Tamandua tetradactyla: one gene and its partner. The protein of the gene in region 2 purifies or fractionates together with the protein of the main gene of each other region. This does not show direct contact. Links are inferred from orthologs where the notes say so. Each region holds a gene or a part of one and is shown on either strand. Other genes may lie near its edges. The genes, in order: SERPINA1 and DERL1.

Region 1 (9,935 bases), on a different chromosome or scaffold from region 2:
GCAGCTGAGTCCCTGAGCTGAGAAGCCAGTAGGAGAGATGCTGAGATTGTTCCATTGAGCAAGGACATTTCACCATCTGCAGGGCACTGTGGACCCACCCTAAACGTGTTTGCTCTTTGCTGGCATGAGAGGTGGTGGAGACCCTATGAGGGAGGTAGAGGGAGTTAGAAGAAATGGAACTAATTGGAGTCCAGAGAACTGGGTTCCAGACAATCCAGGGAGCCCAGCTCCTTCCTGGCACTCAACCCCAGCATCAGTTAGTCCAGTCTGCCACCTATTCCCTTTAGCTCTTGAACCTGCCTCTCCTCTCCATCCGTCTGCCTCGTCCTCCCTCAACTGGCCATCTGCAAGGGCCTCCAGGATCCTTAGCCCCCATCAGAGTGTCACTTCTCCTTTGCAAACTTTGAGCCTGGCGCCCCAGAGGTGATATTTAGTGAGTGAATGAATAAATGAACAGATACATTAATAGAAAGGAAAACTAAAGAAGACAGCCTCGTAAGCTGACTATAGATGGAGGAAGGAGGGCAGGGAGGAAGAGAAGGAGGCAGACTGGCTGCATCGTCAACACCGTGGTGACTCTCTGTGCCTCAGTTTCCTCATCGAATGACAATTATGGAACTCATGGCATGGGATTGTGTGAGTTGATAATCACACAGCATTTGGAACAGAGCCTCGTACTGAGCACGTGCTTGAGAAGCATCAGCTGGGATAGAAGTCAGTTTGGGAATCTGTGTCATAAAATGAAAGCAGCGAGAGACTCCGGAAGACCTAGCAAACACAGATGCTTAAAGTCAATATGGACAACGTGAACAAGGTGAATCGACCCATTTCAACCCAAGGTCTATGTTAGGCAAGTTCTAAAGGGCCCCATGGTTCTCTGTTATCTGAGCCACCCACACAAAGTTGCATTTCTGATAAGCAAGTCCCAAAGTCCTGCTGCATCTCCCTTGGCCCCGGGCATGGGTGCACCCACAGTCCCAGCCCGCTGGCCTGCCCTGCTCGCTTTTCTCTCCCATTCCAGCAGGGAGCCTCAGACAGGGGCACCCACGTCATGAGGCAGGAAAAATGAGGACGTGCCTAGAACTTGGTGTCATTGCTGCCAAGCAAGTGGGTGCTTTCCAGAACATCTGCAGGGATTGCTGCAAGGAGAAAAGAGAGAGCACTGACAGGAGTGCCTATTGGACAATATGCGGCCATTTGAACATCGAATAGGAAATAATTATAGTTCAATAGGACAGGCTGCAAGTTCATAGTGACACTCAAAGAAAAGTTTGAAAGAAGTGTAGAAAAGCTTTGTTATGACACACGTTAGTTTTATTAATTTTAATAAGCAGGTGGCAGAACTATAAATGCATGTTTTAGTCCTTCTATCAGCTGTGTTGTCACTCACCAATGCATAGATATGCTTTATTTCCTTCTCTATCTGATTAGGACAAGGAATGAAAACAAGGCACTGTGAACAATCCACACAGAGCTGGAGAGAGCAAGAATCACATGCAGGAAGCAGAGCCAGAGGTTGCACACACAGGGAAGAAGGCTCCAGCAGGGCGTGGCAAATTGGTGGATTCACAAGTATGCCCAGAGTAAGTGAAATAATTGTGCAAACTCAATTCACCTCCAGAAGATAAAATCTTGAAACATCAGGTTAATCCTGTTAATTAAAACAATTTATGAGAAGACAAACACAAGTGCTGTTTGTGTTAACAAGCAGGCCCTGCATTAAACACCCTCATTTAAACCTCACAACGGTCATGTGAGAAAGGGATTATCATCCCACTTTATAGATGAGGAGACCGAGGTTTAGAGATGTAAAGTGAAGCCTTCCCCTGGATCCAAGTCTGCCTGCCTCTGATTGCTTTGGCATCTCACAGGTGCTCTGAAAGATGCTTCTGACCTTGTACCTCCAAGAAGCAAAATGAGGGCAGGCCCTCAGGAGAGGGGATTGGAGGCATTTTCAGATAAGCAGAGACCTGAATCTGAGAATAGTGCTACTCACCAAGCCTAGAACCCAGGACCTATCTAAAAGGTTTTCCAGCCCAGCTCCCCAAAGATGATGGAGGTGGGTGGGCATTGCCTTGCAGTCTGGCATGTGCCTGAGGCTGCCCTAAGCACTTGATGCATTGTCTCATTTACTCTTCACAATCTTGGTGGAAGGCACTATTCTTATCCCTATTTTACAGATAAAGAAACTGAGGCATAGAGACGTTAAGTGGCTTGTCTACAATCACACAAAAAGAGTAGAGTTAAGGTTTGGACCAGATAGCTTAGCCTCTGAGCCCGTGATTTAATCACTGATTTATAATGCCCCCCAAGAGAAGGGAGCAGTGCTGGAGCAGGGAGGGGAAAGTCTGAGAGTGGGGATGTCTGGTGTGTGTGTAGGGGGGAGGAGGGCAGCACAGGCTGGTTCCTACACTCTCTTACCAAGGGGTTCAGCAGCCCTGAAATCCAGCCAGGGGACCTCTGGTCTTTGATCAACTTGGCCCAGGGCCCTTCTCCAGCATACCCCACACCTCACCCACAACTTGTTGCAGACCCCAGCCTCAGCTCTCATGCCTCTCCCCATCCCACATGCCGGACTCCCATTCTTGGGCCCTATGGAGAGGTAAGATCTCCCCAGATGCCCCTTATTTACAACCAGCCAAGATATGCATTCACTCCAGGGAACAGCCCAGAGGCTAATAGACAATTCCAGAAGTAACCAAGTGGATACAATTTTCCCCACCATGGTCTGTGGTTCGTGGGCACAGTGCCCTCAAGAATGGCCACTGGGTGCCCCCTAGGCATTCTGTCCTTGCTCATTTTCCCAGACACCCCACCCCTTCTCTCAGGAGTATGCCCAGAGTAGTTCTCTGCAGCATCAAAGGTGATAGGAAGATGCCAAGAGGAAAGTGTGGGAGTTTAAAGATAGACAGATAAGGAAGGGTGGGACATGGAGTCCTTGACCCAAAAGTCTCAGGGAGGACCTGCACCCCAGGACTGGCCTGAGAGGTCTGCCCAGCAGAGAGATCTGCTGGATCCCTCCTGCATCCAGCCAGGATCTGGGACATACCTTCTCCCAGCCTCCAAGGGCCCCCTTTGGGCATTTCAGAGATGGCTCATCCTCTTCCTTCTGCAGCTGGCCCTGGGCACCAGCAGAGATTCCATATGCCCAAGCCTAGGCAAGTAGGGTCACGCCTGCCATCTCCATTAATCATGAGCTGGGTGCCATCCCTCTCACAGAGGCCAGGGGAACTGATGACTAGTTCTGGGCCACACAGCCCTGGGACAGGGCAGGACAGCTGGTGACACACAGAGCTACCTGGGCTGGAAAGGCATGGCATGGCATCTGCCTGACAAGCTAGCGGCTTTGTGTAAGGCCACTTCCTGCCCCAGTGCCCCCACCCCTCCAGATCTGTTGCCACTGCCAGGAGCCTCAGTCCTCCTGGGGAGGCAGAGATTGCACAGCACTCAGGGTGCCCACAGCCTCCCCGCAGCAGCCCAGGAGCCCAGGAGCATTGTTGGAGGAGGAGGAAGTGGAGGAGTTGGCCTGCCCAGCAGGCGTGGCGGCCACGGCAGCCCTGCAGCACCCAGAACTCAAGGTAGAGGGGCAGGTGCCCAGGCCACTGGCCAAGGAGACAGAGTTGGGGAATGCGGGAAGGTGGGCTTCCTTCCAGAGAGCATTGCTCACCCTGGGTGAGAGATAAGAGGGGCAGCTGGGCTGTGGGGCTTTTGTACAGATAGGGAACTGAGGCCCAGGGAGGGAAAGGAACTTGCCCAGGAGCATGGAGGACAGGCCCAGCTGTCTAGACTGTGAGCAGATGTAGAGTCCTGGAGAAAATGCCCACTTGTCAGCTCAGGAGAAAAAGCAGGGGCCTTAAAGGCAGAGGATGGAGCTGTGGGCCTAAAGGGGGAGTGGGGCAGAGAGGGGAACCTCGCCTTTCTGAGCCTCTGTTTCCCACTCCTATTAGAAAGGCAGTATACAAACTCAGCCCACAGGCTTCCTGTGAGTAAATGAAAGAATGCCTTGCCCCAGGGACCAACTGCCTAGAGGAAGCTCCTAGAACATACCCTTTCCTCACCCACCCCAAGGCCTTCCCTAATCATGGTCAGCAAGGGCTGTGGCCAGGACCTCAGGGAGACCCACTAATGCAGAGGAGGGATGGCAGGCTGAGCTGTGCACACCCAACTCTGGACTAATCTTGGGTTGCTGCATTTAGTCCTCACAACACCAAAATGGGATAGGAACCCACTTTACAGACAGAGAAACTGAGGCACAGGAAGGTTAAAGAATTTTCCTGAAGATTTCACCACTAGCGAGACACACCTAGCCCCCGAGTCCCTGTTCTGAACCTGGGTGTAAAGGAACCAGCAGGTCACTCATCTGGCAGAGCCCCAAAGTAGAAGCAAAACTGGGACTGGGTCCATGAGAGAAGGGGCTAAACTCATTTACTCACACACTCAGCAAATACCTTCTGAGTATAGCCCAGGTGCCAAGCAGGCACCAGACCCTGGGGTATGAGTGGGCAAAGCAAACAGAAGGTCCTACGTGAGGCATACAGTGTGGTCATCAGAGAGGCAGCAGAAGAAAGAAGGGACAAAGGGGGTGGGAGGGTTGATGCTGGTTCATTTAGGGCAAGGCCACGGAAAGCCTCTCTGGTTGGGGGGAGCTTGGGGAGAGGCCTGAATGGAGTGAGGGAACAGTGTTTCTGGCAGCAGGAACAGCTAGCCTCCCTGAGACTGGAGTAGGCCCACTAGATTCCAGGGAGAAAAGGTCAGTGAAACTGGAGCAGAATAATCACTGGAGTCCATGAAAAGAGGACCCAGCAGGGGGTTTGTGGGCCACTGTAGGGACTTTGATTTTGTCTCTGAGCCAGAGGGAGCCACGGATTGGGATGGAGGTGGCACAGGGGGTATGTGAATTTACTTAGGATTTTAAAGGGATCACAATCAAGAGGAGCTGGGCAGGGCTGGAGCCTACTGACCTCTGCCCTAGCACACCACCCCCAACCACCATCAGAGTCCCCAAGGCGACGGCCTGCACCTGTGGCCTGGACCACTTTCCTGAGGACAGGGCAAGCAGTGGATGTGTTGCACCCGCCGGCTGGGAGCTGAGCCTCCTTCTGTGACAGCAGCCCGGAAGCAGCGCTGAACAGAGGAAACAAGAGAAAGGACCTACTGCGGGTCAGGTATTTTAAACAAATTACCTTGTGCAGCACTGACAAGGATGCTAGGAGGGGAAACTTCCAACAACTATGAGGCAGAGAGAAACACCTCCTGGTTCAGAGAAGTGAAGCCGTCTGCCTGAGGCCACACAGCTCTTTAGTGGCAGATACAGGCAAGATTTGACCTAGAATGGCCTCAGCCAAAGCCAGACTCTCTTTACAAGTTCATACTCTGGTCCCCACCTGGACCCTTGGAGACCCACACGAGCCTAAAGTGACCATGTCGGCCTCATCATTTCCCACCATCCCCTTGGCAAAGTCAAGAGGGATTTTACACCGGAGGCTGGTTTGGTGATTTTAGATCAGGGGCCTCTCCTTTCTGGGCCTCAGTTTCCCCCTCTGATAATAACCCACATTAGCCTCCCCAGGCAGAGCCTTCAAAATGACTCAGCAAATGGGGGCTCTCGCTCTTGGGAGGGTGAGGCAGCCCTGGAGGGCTCCTGAGCAGGCGCATAGAGCTGGCCACGTGGGGCTGGGCCCGGAGGTCTGACTCACCCCCGACACACACTCACCCCCAGCCTTAGATGCAAGACGCGGCGGTTTATGAGCCAGAAAAGCCGGCTCCCTTTGGCATTCGGGGCAGAGGGCCATGCCGAGAGCGGAAGGGCAGCCTGGGTGGGCGGCCTGCTGCCCATCATGGACTTAGTCCCTGTTTGCTCCTCCGATAACTGGGTGACCTTGGTTAATGTTCACTAGCAGCCTCCCCCATCGTCCCATCTGCATCCACTGCTTAAATACGGACGAGCGCAGGGGATCTGTCTCCTCAGCTTTGGTCACCAGCCCGGCTCTGGGACCGTGAATCGTGAGTATTCTTTTGCTGGGGAGAGCCTCCCAAGACCCTCCTGCTCTGTGTGGCCAGGCAGGCAGCTGGTCTGGGGCCGATGGGGGGTGGCCCCAGGAGACTCAGGCAAGATGGAGCCTGAACCCCTATTTCCTGTTGTCATAGCCACAGCAGCCCCAGGGTCCCCGCTTTCTGAGCCTGCCCAGGGGTTCCTGATTGAGTATATAGTCACAGCCTATATATTCCATAGGCAAGAAGTAGAAGACCCTCCATTCTGGGGGTGGGGGGAGGTGGGGGTTGGCATCTGGCTCCACAGTCCCCGGACCCCAGAAGACCCCAGGACACAGCAGCAGCAACAGTGAGGGTGGTGGGTCCTGTTTGCACTGGACCTGTATCTTCACGGCTTTCCTGTGGTCTGTGTCCTACAAGCTTCACAGGCCCTCCATGCTTGGGTGCGTGCCCTTTTCCCCTTCTACAGGTGAGGAAGGTAAGGCCCAGGGAGGGGCAGTGACCAGCCCAGGGTCACGTAGGGACCGCATCGGCCTCCAGCCTGTTCAGACGGAGTGGAACTGTGCAGGCCCTCAGCCTGGATGGGCCCCCACATGCGGTGGGGACAGGGAGCTGGGGGCTGGGGCCAGGCTGCCTGAGTTTGAATCCTGGAGGGTGTATGATTTGGGGCAAGCTGTTACCCTCTGTGCCCCCAATTTCCTCATCTGTAAAATGGGTATAACCATAGTAGCCATCTTGGACGGTTTTTGTGAGCTTCAATTCACCCATACGTGAAAAGGCTGAGATGTTGCCAGGGGTCCTAGCCCCAGACCCCAGCTCTGCCTACCAGGGTCTACTCTAGAGGTATTTCTCAGGCTCTGGCCAGAAACCCCAAATGCTGGGCTGGCCTCAAGGCCCTCTGTCGGATGCTCAGTAGTCTTCTTTGCAGCTAACATCTCTGTCCTCTTATACAAAATAGAGATAACCTTTGCCCTCCCTCCTTCCCTCTCATCCCACCTTACTCTCTGGAATGTTGGAAGGATTTGATTTTTCTATTATCAGTTTTTGGAGGTGAGGGCTCCAGGGATAACTAAAGCCAGAGGAGCTGGAGGCCCATTTGGCAACCTGGAAAGGTCCATGACAGCATCAGTAACCATAACTTGGGCTTCCTGAGAGCTTACCATGCACCAAACACTTCTCAAGACTTTGTGTATATTCAATCTGCACGTTTTGGCTCTGGGAGGGAAGGCCATGCTGATCATCACCAGGAAGGTTCAGAGAGGGTAAGTGACTTGTCCAAGTCACACAGCCAATGGCCATTAGAACTCAGGCAATCTGGCCTCAAAGCCTCTCCCCTTGGCTGCTAAGCCATGCTGGCCCTTTATATTTAGCCAGGCCATCTCTGAGGTTTTTTTCTGTTTGAAGACTCCTCACTTCAGCTTTGAACGAAGAGAATGCAAGGAATGGAGCAGGAATGCCTAATCTTATATCCAGTTTCTAAGCTCCTAGCTCCGTGGTTTTTAGTAACCTCCTGGTGTCTCCATTTCTCCAACTATAAAATAGGCTAATAATAATTCACCCTTCATGGGGTAAGCTCTGAGGGAAGATTAAATGGGACAGTGCCCATAAAACACCGGATGTTTAGTAAGTGCAATGCTGCTTCTGTTTGTTTAGCATAGGGCTCGGAGCTAATAAACCTTAAATTAACATGAAGAGTTGAATATACTGTTTGTTTACCAAATTCAGAGGTAACACCGCCTCACTCCTTTAACGCCCCTGGATAGAAATGGTGTGAGATCAGGCAGAAGGACAGCACACGCCATTCTCTCCTGCCTGCCCAGTCCTGCTCACACCTGCCCTGGATATTGGCAATAGCACCATTAGATTCTCACTGTTTGGTTTAAAGTGTGGACTCTGTGCTCACATACTTCTGATGACATCACCACCCAGTTCCTCTTCTCCAGTTAGGTTTCCCCAGCCTGGGCTTTGGGGTGTCCTCCCTCCCAGAGGGGGCTGGCCTTGATAAAAACGAGAGAATCGAATCGAGGCCTTGGGCTCCTTGGGTTGTAAGGAACAGATTCAGAAGCAAATGAACCAAAAAGGGGATGCTAGAGGCCAATGTCAGATCCTCCAGGGCCCAATTCTGATTTTCTGTGGGTCAAAGACCTGAAGACGCAGCTGCCTCAAATGGCGGCCAGAGTGGTGAGAAAACAAAGGGTGGTTCAGGATTTGTCCCTAACTTGCTGTGTGAGCCTGGCCAGGCCCTGCCCATCTCTGGGCCTCAGTCCTTCACTATGAAAGAAGGAAATTAGTGTGTAGGATGTAACACCCGGGAAGATTAGAGGTAGATACTCACTGCCTGCACCACTGGCTATAGTTGCCCCACACCAGTGTGCCCCTGAAAGGCCAGAAGCTCCTGGAGTGGGAGCGTACCTCACCCATGCCCCTCCCATGAAAATTCTCAGTCTCAGTTGTGCTCAATCAAACCCCGGATCTACCTTCAATAAAAATCTAATGTAATCAGGAGACCTCATTTTGGCCCATCCAGGCCCTCTAGCTCCAGTGAAGGAAAACAGGGCCCCAGGGACAAGGCAATGCCAGCCCAGGGCCAAGTGTACAGTAGTGGAAACACAGGGATCCCCGGCCTCTGACCTCAGACCACTCAGCACACCTAGTGTCCCCACCTTGCCTGTGCCCAAGTCCCATCCAGTCCCTGAGCCCTGCAAGGATGGGGAATTTCCAGACCTCCTAAGGACTCCCAAATCCAGTCAGGAAGTAAGGGAGACACCTGAGGGAGATGGAAATAAACAGAACTAATTTTAGCACTGGCCTTGGAGCTGAAACAACTGGCTAGTTTTAAGGAAAACATAAACATGTTTGCTCTATTTGGATTATTAGAAGCACAAAAGTCAGAAAAAAGGTGGTAAAGGGAAATAAGTTTAGTGATTCATTCTGTTGTTTTGGAGGGAAGAAACTTCTAAACGTCCAAGTGTGGACTTTTCTTTTTCCCAACTTTTCCCATCAGGAAAATTCGAGATCATATCCCAAATTCGAGAATAAATTTCTCTTTGCATTTTATGATGATTTTAGTTATGTGCACAATAGCTAGGTGTCCATTGGCAGGGTCTCCTCTTCTTTGACCTCAGTTTCTCTATCAGTGGTGAGAGTGGGTTGAACTTATGAGGCTACAAATGGGTAGCCCAAGGCCTGCGCAAATCTGGACAGGAAGCTCAATGGAGCAGGGCAGGCTCTGTGACCACAGACACCGTTACTTTCAGCATCCCGAGGCACAGCTGCCCTCACTGGATCAGCCAGAGGCCTTCAGCTCCCTGTATTTCACCCCCAGACCTCAAACACATTTGCCTCCCCTGCCTGGCCCTGAAGGCTTGAGTTAGCAACTGATACTACTCTTGTTGACAAAAGAGTTGTTCTCTCAGACCCCTCCAGCTAAGGGTTGGCATCTTGACTTATTTCACCTAATTCTCCCCAAAATCCCATTTCACAGATGAGGCACAATGAGGCTCAGAGAGATAAAATGAGAGGAGGTAAGCAACAGACCCAGGATTAGGACCTGGATGTGTCTGAAAATAAAGGCAATGCTTTTTCGGCATCCTTGCACACTCATTCCCTACCCCACCCCACCACACACACACACACACACACACACACACACACACATACACACCTGATATCCAGGAGACACAGCATCTGCCATGCACATAAGTGGGAGGCTCAGGGCTAGGACAGTTCAGGGCTCCAACAGAAAGGAGAATGGCCTGTTCATTCTTGGGGCCCCAGACTCATGGTGGGGCTGCTCCCTCTCTCAGGAAAGGCTTCTGTGGGCAATGAGTCCACAGGGGGATTTAGTGGGTTTAGGTCCCCAGCTGCTCTGAGGAGGTGTCACTAAACTCCAGGGGGTGGAAGCACTACAGGACGTTTGATCACACAGTGATGGCAGGAGGGAG
Region 2 (9,711 bases):
CTGTATTCATTTAATGTAATTTCGACCTTCCTTCCCCACTAAAAATAGCTGTATTAAATTATTGGAGCATCTTAAATCAATTGAGTCTTAGAATAGTGTTTATGTGGTATATTATTCCCATTTTTTAGGTAAAGGAATTAAAGCTTCAGAAAGGATAAATAACTTGCAGAAGGTCACATAACTAGTAAGGGGCTGAGCCCAGCCTTGAGACCATGACTAAACTACTTGAAATCTCATGGTCTTTTTACTCTAACAAAAAGGAACAATAATTTGCTAAGACTGACTTGGAAGAAATCACCTTCTTACTAAACTCTTAACTATGTGTTTTGGTAGAAATTATGCAAAGTAGTTCAACAGACAACCCAGAACTATTTTCAACTCACCAAAATAGAAACTGAAACTGCAGTTGTCAATAAAACAGGGTAACACTATCTCAGGATGATTGATTGCAAGAGACGGAGCTAACATATGGAGCAGCACAATACAGGTGTAAGGGAGTGACGTTATTTTGTCCAAAGAAATGAAGAAATACCAAAGGCGGGCAGCCGTAGGAAATCACAGCTTCTCCTTGAGTTGATCAAGGACCAATATGAAGACATTTCATCGCTGTGCACTGTTCGAATGTTTGGTGTAATTATAAGGGACTAGAAATGGGGAGAAATTCTGGACTACAGTGTAGTTGAGTCTTATCACAATGTAGTGTTTCGATTTACCCAAACTAAGGAAATAACATTTTAAACTTCAGCATTCCAGACCAATAAGCATTCAGAGGAAACCAATAGTTATGGAGGAAAAATAACTTTTCTGACTTCCAACACAAATCCACAATTCTAAATGAATCATCATCAATTTTTTCTTAAATGCAAGAAGCAAAATTCCCAGGTCTACATTAAAGATCCAGCTTTGACTGAAACAATGAGCCTATAGCGGAAATTCTGCTCAAGCAACAACACACACACTCTGTCCTTTCATATCAGCCTCTCAGATGCAATTTTTCCTCAACTGCTTCATTTGCGAATGAGTTCCTCCAGGTGGGTCGAAAAGTCACACTTGTCTAGAGAAGAACAAAGTATAGAGATTAGTCTTTCCATACTTGGGCAATCAATGCATTGCACCTCCCTCCTTCCACCACTCCTCAAGCCCACAAGAAACAAAATAAGGAAGATGGGAAAAATGGGAAAGGTGTGACGTGAATGAGAACTCTTTCTAAAGGAGATTACTAGTCACTTCACCTCTTAACATTATTCACCTGCTCCCTATCAGAAAGGCTTTTTCATGTTACTTATTTTACTAATTTGATCATACAAGTCAGCAAGATTTTGCAAGGGTCAAAGTGTTGATCAAATTCTTTTCACAAAATGATTTACAACCGTGGCTCCCCATGTACACATATTACCCAATAAGGGCACCAGGCAAAATGTGCACAACACTTGCAATAGATACTTACTAAAGCAAATAAAAAGAAAACAGAACGCCATTCTGGGTGCACTTCAGCCTTATACCCAACTGCCTACTCGACTTTCTGGATACAGAAAAAGTACCTCAGACTTAGGTCAAAGCCTAAATCTTCATCCACACCCCCCAACCTGAGCCTCCCTACACACTAACCCCAATAAATGGCTCCACCAGCCTCTTGGTTAATTCCTGAATGCCATCTTTGAATCCTGTTTCTTTCACCCCTTCATTCTTCACATCCAGTCCAACAATAATCTTGTCTATTCCAACTCCCAAATCTGTCCACTTCCAACTTCAGAGCCAACCCTGAGTAAAATTCACTATCTCTTTTGCCTCCTACCTTAACTCCTCTCTGACCCCATTACCTATCCCTCTTCAAAGTGCGCTCGCTCTCCCTCCCTCTCTCTCTCAGACACACACACACGTGTGCACACGCCATGGTAGGCAACCCCCACCTCCATTCCTTCTCCCACCGCGCATGCACACACATTCACGGAGTCCACCCAATGAAGTAAAAAAGGCAATCTTGTCAGTCCTTCACTCAAAAGCCTCCAGAAACTCCTTTTGCCCTCAAAATAAACTTCAACACACTTAACATGGCCTTAGAAAGCCCTATAAGATCTGGCCCTGACCTACTTTTCCAAGTTCAGTTTACTGCACATACCCCTGACTATCTTCCTGTCCTCATCTACTGGGCCTCATTCCTACAGCTCACTTCACCAGCAATTCAGTCGTCTGCTCCTTGTTACTGCCCCTAACCTTTTCACTTCCTATTCCTTTTTCTTGGAAGGCTGTCCCAGAACAAGTTCTTCCCCAAGGCTGGCTGCTGTTACTCAGGATTCAGTTCAAATACCTTATTTGACACCTCTCTGGACCACACTGTCAAATATTACACTCCACTCTCCATCACAGGCCTCTCTTTTATTTTCTTCATGGGAGCCAGAACTTCTTCTGATCCATTCATTATTGTATCATCAGTACCCAGCACACAGCTGGTACCCAATATCCATGCACTTAACCAATAAATAAGCACCTGCTATGTGCCAGGTACTAGTCTAGGGAACAAGGTAGTAGTAAACAAGACATAGATTCTACTCTCATAGAGTCTTACACTCTGAGGGGAAGCAGAATAACAAATGTTAAGAAGTGATACATGGCAAAGAAAAGTAAAGGTAAAGGAGACAGTGTGAAGGACAGGTACTATTTTATGTAAGGCTATCAGAGAAGGCCCCACTGGCAAGGTGGCATTTGAGCAGAAACCTGAAGGAGGTAAGGAGATAAAGCAGAGAGCCACAGTTATCTTCCTCAAGAAGGGACCACCATGTGCAACAGCCCTGATGAGGGATCATTATATGATGAAGGAACAGCAAGGATGCCACTGTGGAACCTAAAGTACAAGGAGGAGAAGAGTGGGAGATGAAGTCAGAGAAGTAGCTGGGGGGCTTGCAGGCCACTGAAAGGACTGAGACTTTACTCTGCCATCTGAGAAGACACAAAGAGCTCGGAGCAGAGGACTGACAGGACTTGTCAGGATCACTCCAGCTGTTTGGAGAAAAGATTGAAAGGAATAAAATTGGAAGATGATAATGGATTGCGATGTCTAAGGTAGACTCAACATAATTTGCTGAGCAATTGTGGAGTGTGACAGTAAGAAACGTCAGAGATGACTACAAAACTTTACAGAAGCTTGAGCTTCTGTAATACTGGAGTTGCTATTTACTTCTAAAACAGAAGGCAGGAGAATTCCATTTAGAACATGTCAGGTTTGAGATGCCTGTTAGTCATCCAAGTGGTGATCTCAAATAGACTGTTGGATCTACAAGTCTAGAAAAGAGGACATCTGGACTGAAATATATCTGTATTTGTATTTGGGGGTCTTCAGTTTAAAAAGTATTTAAACCCACCAAACTGAATGAAATCACCCAGGTGCAGAATATAGAGAAGAGGTCCTGCAACTGATCCCTGGAGCACAACACAACATTTAAAGGTCAGGAGAGGACAAGCAAAGGAGACTAAGTAGCCAGTGAGGAGAAGCAAAAATGAGTGCTATCCTCGGGCTAAATACTGCACTCACTGACTTTAATCTCAAATCTTGGTATCTGACCTACAAGCAATTAAAGTTAAACTACTAAAAAAGGTGAATAAAAATAACCCCCAGTAACTTAACATTCTCTTACCAGGTGAACACTCTACATTGTTTCCTCAGGCCTAAGAAAATAACAGCATCTCCCATTTCTGGTGCAATTTACTCTTTATTCATTCGTACATTAAACTACTACATGTCAACAGTAGTTTAAACTGAGGGAGACGCAGATTAAACAAACACCTCTGAACTTCTGACCTCCTACAGAGAAAAAAAAATTCCCTTAACATGAAAAGGACTGATCACTTCGATATCTGCCAAGTTGGAACCTACATGCCACCCACGTGGGTGACAGATGTAGGTAAAAGGCATGTGCTCCAGGTCGTCCCACCCAGACTGCTAACCTTGGCGTTTTGGGGGTCCCAACACCGGTATCCAATATTGACAAATGTCACTGACTTACCTTTTCACTGCCTCCTTCACCGAGTGCGGAGCGTGGGGAGCACAATCTTAATACAAGGACAGGGTCGGTCCCTTCCTACCAGACTAAACCCACGTGTCCAGCTCTCCAGGTCCTCGTTACAGACCCCTCGGCCTCCCTTCCAGCCCAAGACCCCGCCCTAACCCCCTCGAGCTGATGCACTACGAATCCCAGCAGACACCGCGCGCCCGCAGCCTGCTGGCAAACACTTCGCAGCCGCGGGGCCCCCTGGGGCCTGTAGTCTCCACTGACTCAGGAGCCGGACAGTACCTGGAAACGATAGAGGAAGGCTTCGGGCCAGAGGAAGAGGTAGGCCGGGCTGATGAGGCCGAGTTTGCCGATCAAGGGCACCGCGACAGTGGCGGCAAACCAGTAGCGCGTGATGGCCGGGATGCTCCTGAACCAGTCCCCGATGTCCGACATCTTCGTCACTCAGGTAGCCAGGATGTGCACAGCCGCCCGACTCCGGTCCTGGCCTCCCTCCCTACGCGGCCGGCTCCGCGAGTGGAAGGTGTAGAGGGAAGCCCCGGTGCAGAAGGCGGAGACGGGTGGACGTGGCGCCACCGAATTCGGACAAGCGAGGGAGCGTTCCGAGGGGAAACTTCCCCTTCCGGCGGCCGCAGACAACGTGACCAGAAGTCCCGCCGCTTAAAGGGCAAGAGTGACTTTTACCACTGGGTCGCGGGTCCGCAGCCCTGGGGACGGGGCGGAGCCGTGAGGGGCGGGGCGAAGGCAGGACTGGTGGGAAACAGTGGTTGTCTGGAGCAACGACAAATGCTTCAGCCAATGGCGAGGCCGGATACCCTCCACCTTTTTTCCGCCAGAGATAGAAAGCAGGTGGATCCACCGTGGTAAGTATTTAAAGGGAAGCAAGCTGTTACCGCGTGTTTGTGTTGTTTCAGCAAATGGTTGTTGAGGGCCTACTGAGTACCAGGCTGAGAACATGGTACCATCTCTCTTAGAGCTTACATTATTAGGAATAGACAGATAATGAGCAAATAAATAATTGAGTAAGATAATTTTGGATAGTGATAAGGAGAATATAATAGGGTGATGGAGTAGACTGAGGCAGGGGCGGGGAGGCTGTGGGGAAAGATGACTATTTTAGATGAGAATGGTCAGGGAGTCCTCCTCTGAGGAGATGATGTTGGGCTGCGCCAGCCAGGCAAAGATAAGGGAAGAGTTTTTCATGTAAACAGCTGCTCCACCTTGCTTGGAGTGTTGGAGGAACTGAAAACAGAAATGATCTTGATGTTCATGTAGTTCACTAGGCAAGACTTAAATTACAAGCACATGAAAGTTCATCTTGTTTAATTTTTTTTAAATCTGTAAAAAAGAGATTGATGGAATTTTTTCTTTTGTTTTCAGATTTCGAGCCTACAGCTCAGAATTGATAAAGCCCTGTGATAATACCAGCAGGAACACTCCTGTAGTGCAACAAAGATTTATAAACTTTGTTTTAAACAAAGGAGATTGCACACCAGCAGAACTCTGGGCTATCTTACCAAACAAAACAAGACAGGGCTATTATTGGTTATTATGAGGAAAGATAGAGTTTTTGGTAAATTTAAATCAAGTGTTTTGCTATGTTCAAAGCAAAGCAGGGCTCTGTGTAAATGGGGTTAACATCAGGCCTAGGCCTAAAGTGGGAAGCAGACTATTTTAGTTTTCTAGGCTGCTCAAGCAATTCAAATTTATTTCCTTACAGTTTGCAGCTAAAAGAAAGTCCAAACCAAGCCATCATCAAACTGATGCTTTCTCCCGGAAGACTGACATTCTGGGGATGACTGCTGGTAATCCTTGGTCCTTGGTTTGTCACTTGGCACAACACATGATGGCTATACTGGTTTCTCCCCTTCCAGGTCTGTTGATTTCAGCTTCTGGCTGCTTCCCCTCTGGCTTTCTCTCTGTCTGTTTGAATTTCACTCTGCTTATAAAGGACTCCAATAATAGGATTAAGACCCATCCTGATTGAGGTGGGTTACACCTTAACCAGAGTAATTTCATCAAAAGGTGCTACTTACAATGGGTTCATACCCACAGGAATACATTAAAGCATGTGTTTTTCCAGGATACGTACAGCTTCCAACCACCATACAGATCCAGAGTCTTCTTCCCTTAGAAACCTCAAAGTTAAGATAAATGTGGAATACTGGGCCTGAAATCTTATTATTCAAGGCTTTACACCTGGATTGAAAATACTACATCAAAGCAACCCAAATGGCTCAACTCCTCCAGACAGGAGAAAGATGTTCCATTCACACACGTTTAAGTTCAAACCACAAAGTTTTTGACAGTTTGTGATTTTAGATAACATTTCTTAGCACCATGTCCATGATATTAACAAAATCAGCATTTACAGGATAAGAAGACAGTAACTATTCCGCAGCCCAATGAACACAAACAACATTTGGGGACCTAATAAATATTAAATGCAGAGAATATGTGAAGAAACCCATTCATACATGGTAGGAGTATAAAGTGGCACAACCTTAGGAAGACAATATTGATATAAAAGAAAAACTACAATGTTGTATAAACAGTGGACATGTTGATTAAATTATCTCCATGGAGATATGACACACCCAATTGTGGGTGTGAACTTTTGATTAGAAGGAGATGTGACTCCACCCATTCCAGGTGAGTCTTTATTAGTTTATTAGAATCCTTTAAAAGAGGAAACATTTGGGAGAGAGCCAGAAACGACAGAAACCTTGGCGTTGACAGAGAGTGAGCCAACAGAAACTTCAAAGCACAGCTGACACAGATACCGATATTTGGAGAATAGAGACACAGATGTTTGGAGATGCTTGGAGCCCAGCAGACATTGCCATGAGTGAAATGTTAAGCAAGCCAGAACCCAGAGAAAGCCAAGGGAAGTCAAGAGATGAAAGCCAATCCCAGAGAAGCAAAGTGAGGAATCCCCACAGGGACAGAGGCCCAAATGGCCAAATGAAGTCCAGGAGCAAGGGACCTGCAAGGGACTAGCTTGCTTTCCCAGCTGACAGAGATGTTCAGATGCATCCGCCTTTCTTAAATTAAGGTATCTTTACCTGGATGCCTTAGTTTGGACATTTACATAGCCTTAGAACTGTAAACTTGTAACTATTTAATAAATTCCTTTTATAAAAGCCATTCCAGTTCTGGTGTATATTGCATTCCAGTAGACTGCAAACCAGAAAAGGGAGCTTCACTTTCTATTCTCCTTCCTTTAGTCTCAAGGACGCCTTTCAGAAAGCCTCATCTATCTAAGCAATTTTCTCATTGTATTTGGGAATGATCTCACTACGTGTCAAGACACAACATCACTTTTCCCCTCTCCTCTGAATACTGTCCTAGCTCAGCTGTAGATGCCAAATCCTTTTGATTATACATGAAGCACTGCCCTTGGTTGCTTTCATGTATGTTTTATGAGAACACCTAGCCATGAATATTTATTTAAGCAGCTTTGAACACATGCTTTTGATTTGCTTTTTCTATTCTGACTCACAGTAGAATGGGGGGAGGGTTGGTACTGATGCACTATGTCATAGTTCACTTGCAGTGGCTTCTGCCTCCTTCTGCCCCTGATAAGGCCAAATAACCACGTCATCTAGAAAATGGCAAATGTTGCTTGGGTTTGCATCAGTTAGCTTGTATGACACATAATTCTTTTTTACTGATGAAATAGAAGTGTTTCCTTTGCAATGTCAGTTTTCCTACACAAGGTGTCAATAAAACCTTGACATTTAACTGTTGCCAGTTTGGATTCCTTCCAAGGTGACTGAGTTGGTCAACACTTAAACACTCTTTATTTCAATTAGAACAGCAACTACCCTATTTCTGCCTCAAGTCTCAAAGTCTTTTTAAGTGATCTTCCCACTGCAGTTAGAAGGATGTATCCAGAAACCACTTCAAGTTTCCCTAGAACCTTTAAGGACAAGATCCTAACTCTTTATAATGGCAGTCCAGGTCCTTTTATGACTTTTGCATATTCTTACTCTTATGTTCATACCCTTCACCTTGGCAGTAATATAAAAATAACTACCATCATCATCATCATCATCGCGGGCTTTCTAAGTGCTCAGCACTTACATACATGTTACATACATAATGACACCCAGTGCAGTCTGTGCTTTCACTGCACTGAGCTCCTCCCGTTTCTGGAAGACACCATGCTGTTTCCCAACATACACACACACACACACACACACACACACACACACACAAACCTTTCTATAGATGATGTTTCCTCTCCTCACTTTTCCTCCACCTGGATAACCCTATTCATCCTTCCAAATTCAGCTCATGTAATGCCAGTTCCTAAAACCTTCCATCTCTTTTTCTTCCAATTCCATCTGCTTTAGAAATAAAAGCAATGTTTTAGCTAGAGTAACCATAGTACAGGAAGGACAGGAGGCCAGTGGTGCTGCTGGAACAATCAGAATCATGGATGTAAATGCTACCAGGATGCTCTCTTTCCATCTCTTTTTTTTTTTTTTTTTTTTTTCTGATTTTGCCTGAGCATCAGTCCGCCTCTCTCAGATCGGCTGTCTACACAACGCTGAAGCCACTGCTTTTGGCAAGCCCCAGGTTTTACTACCAGAGAGGGACTATGACTTGCTGTTCTTGGTCTTATACTCAAAAATCCAAGCAAAAGGCTCTGATTGGCTCTTTAGTCAAGCCCCACCCTGGGCCAATCACAGTGACCCAGGTGGGCTAAAAAAGTGTTGTATGAGAGCAGTGCAGTTCTTAGTATGGGGAGGGAGGGCCGGGCAGGCAAAACTAGCCGTGTCTACATTCCTACCACACTTTGCCCTAGACCCACTTCCTCTGTGCTCTTGAGAACCATTTGTTGAGCAACACTCCCTTTAATGTATGAATAAGTCCTTTTTTACAAGGGGAATGGAACAGAATCTTGTTATACGGGTTCCCAAAGATTTGTAGCCCAGGCTAGCAATCAATCATTTTCTGGTCCAAGGCAGTCTTTTGGAAAAAACATATAAATCTGGTGCATGAGAGGCAGAAAAACATAGGTATGGCAGAGTGAGATAATGGAGCCAGACAGATCTACATTTGAATCTTGGCTCAGTAGCTCTATGACCTTGGGCAAATTATATAACAACTCCAAGCCTTAGTTTCCTCATCTGTAACATGGGAACAAAATCAATATATTAGGAAGGGCTACTTCATGCTGCAATAATAAACAACCTCCAAAGCTCATTTTCTCTTCTGTGTACAAAGCCTTTTCTACTTCATCCTTCCAGGCCTACCTCACATGTCATTCCTCTTGTTTTTTTTCCCCACCCCACCCTCTAGGAGCATTAATTGCTCTCTTCTCTGAAATTCCACTGATACCTCACTTATAGCGCTGATCACATGGTTTTATACTTACATATTTATTTTTCCCTTGTACTCTCCATTTCAACCAAAGCTATGAGCATTCCAAGGACATGGAATTCATCTTTTTTTTTTTAACCTCTCCGTCCCCAGGTCCTTGCACAGGGCTGGACACATAATTGGCATTCAAAATGTTGAGTGACTGACTGGCTGACTCACTAGTTGAATGAATGAATGACAAGAGCAGCACGTGACCTACTTGTACGCAGACGAAGGGCTAATCTGGGCCATTTGTCTATTGTTATAGGATTATTGTTTTAACTAAAAAACAAAAACAAAAAAGCTTGAAGTAGTTTAAGTTTAAACAACATCT

What was found.
Region 1: the proteins of DERL1 (region 2) and SERPINA1 purify together in Homo sapiens (affinity purification with western blotting; 4 studies listed by BioGRID). This does not show direct contact. The link is inferred for Tamandua tetradactyla from reciprocal best matches to the Homo sapiens genes DERL1 and SERPINA1.

The regions. Positions count from the first base shown.
Region 1 is NC_135338.1:55,473,436-55,483,370, reverse strand, and holds the start of SERPINA1 (alpha-1-antitrypsin), read left to right. Parts: upstream 1-5,885; 5' UTR 5,886-6,003; intron 6,004-9,935.
Region 2 is NC_135332.1:167,568,125-167,577,835, forward strand, and holds the start of DERL1 (derlin-1), read right to left. Parts: upstream 4,729-9,711; 5' UTR 4,443-4,728; coding exon 4,290-4,442; intron 4,130-4,289; exon of another isoform or gene 4,002-4,129; intron 1-4,001. UniProt on the Homo sapiens protein: Functional component of endoplasmic reticulum-associated degradation (ERAD) for misfolded lumenal proteins. Forms homotetramers which encircle a large channel traversing the endoplasmic reticulum (ER) membrane.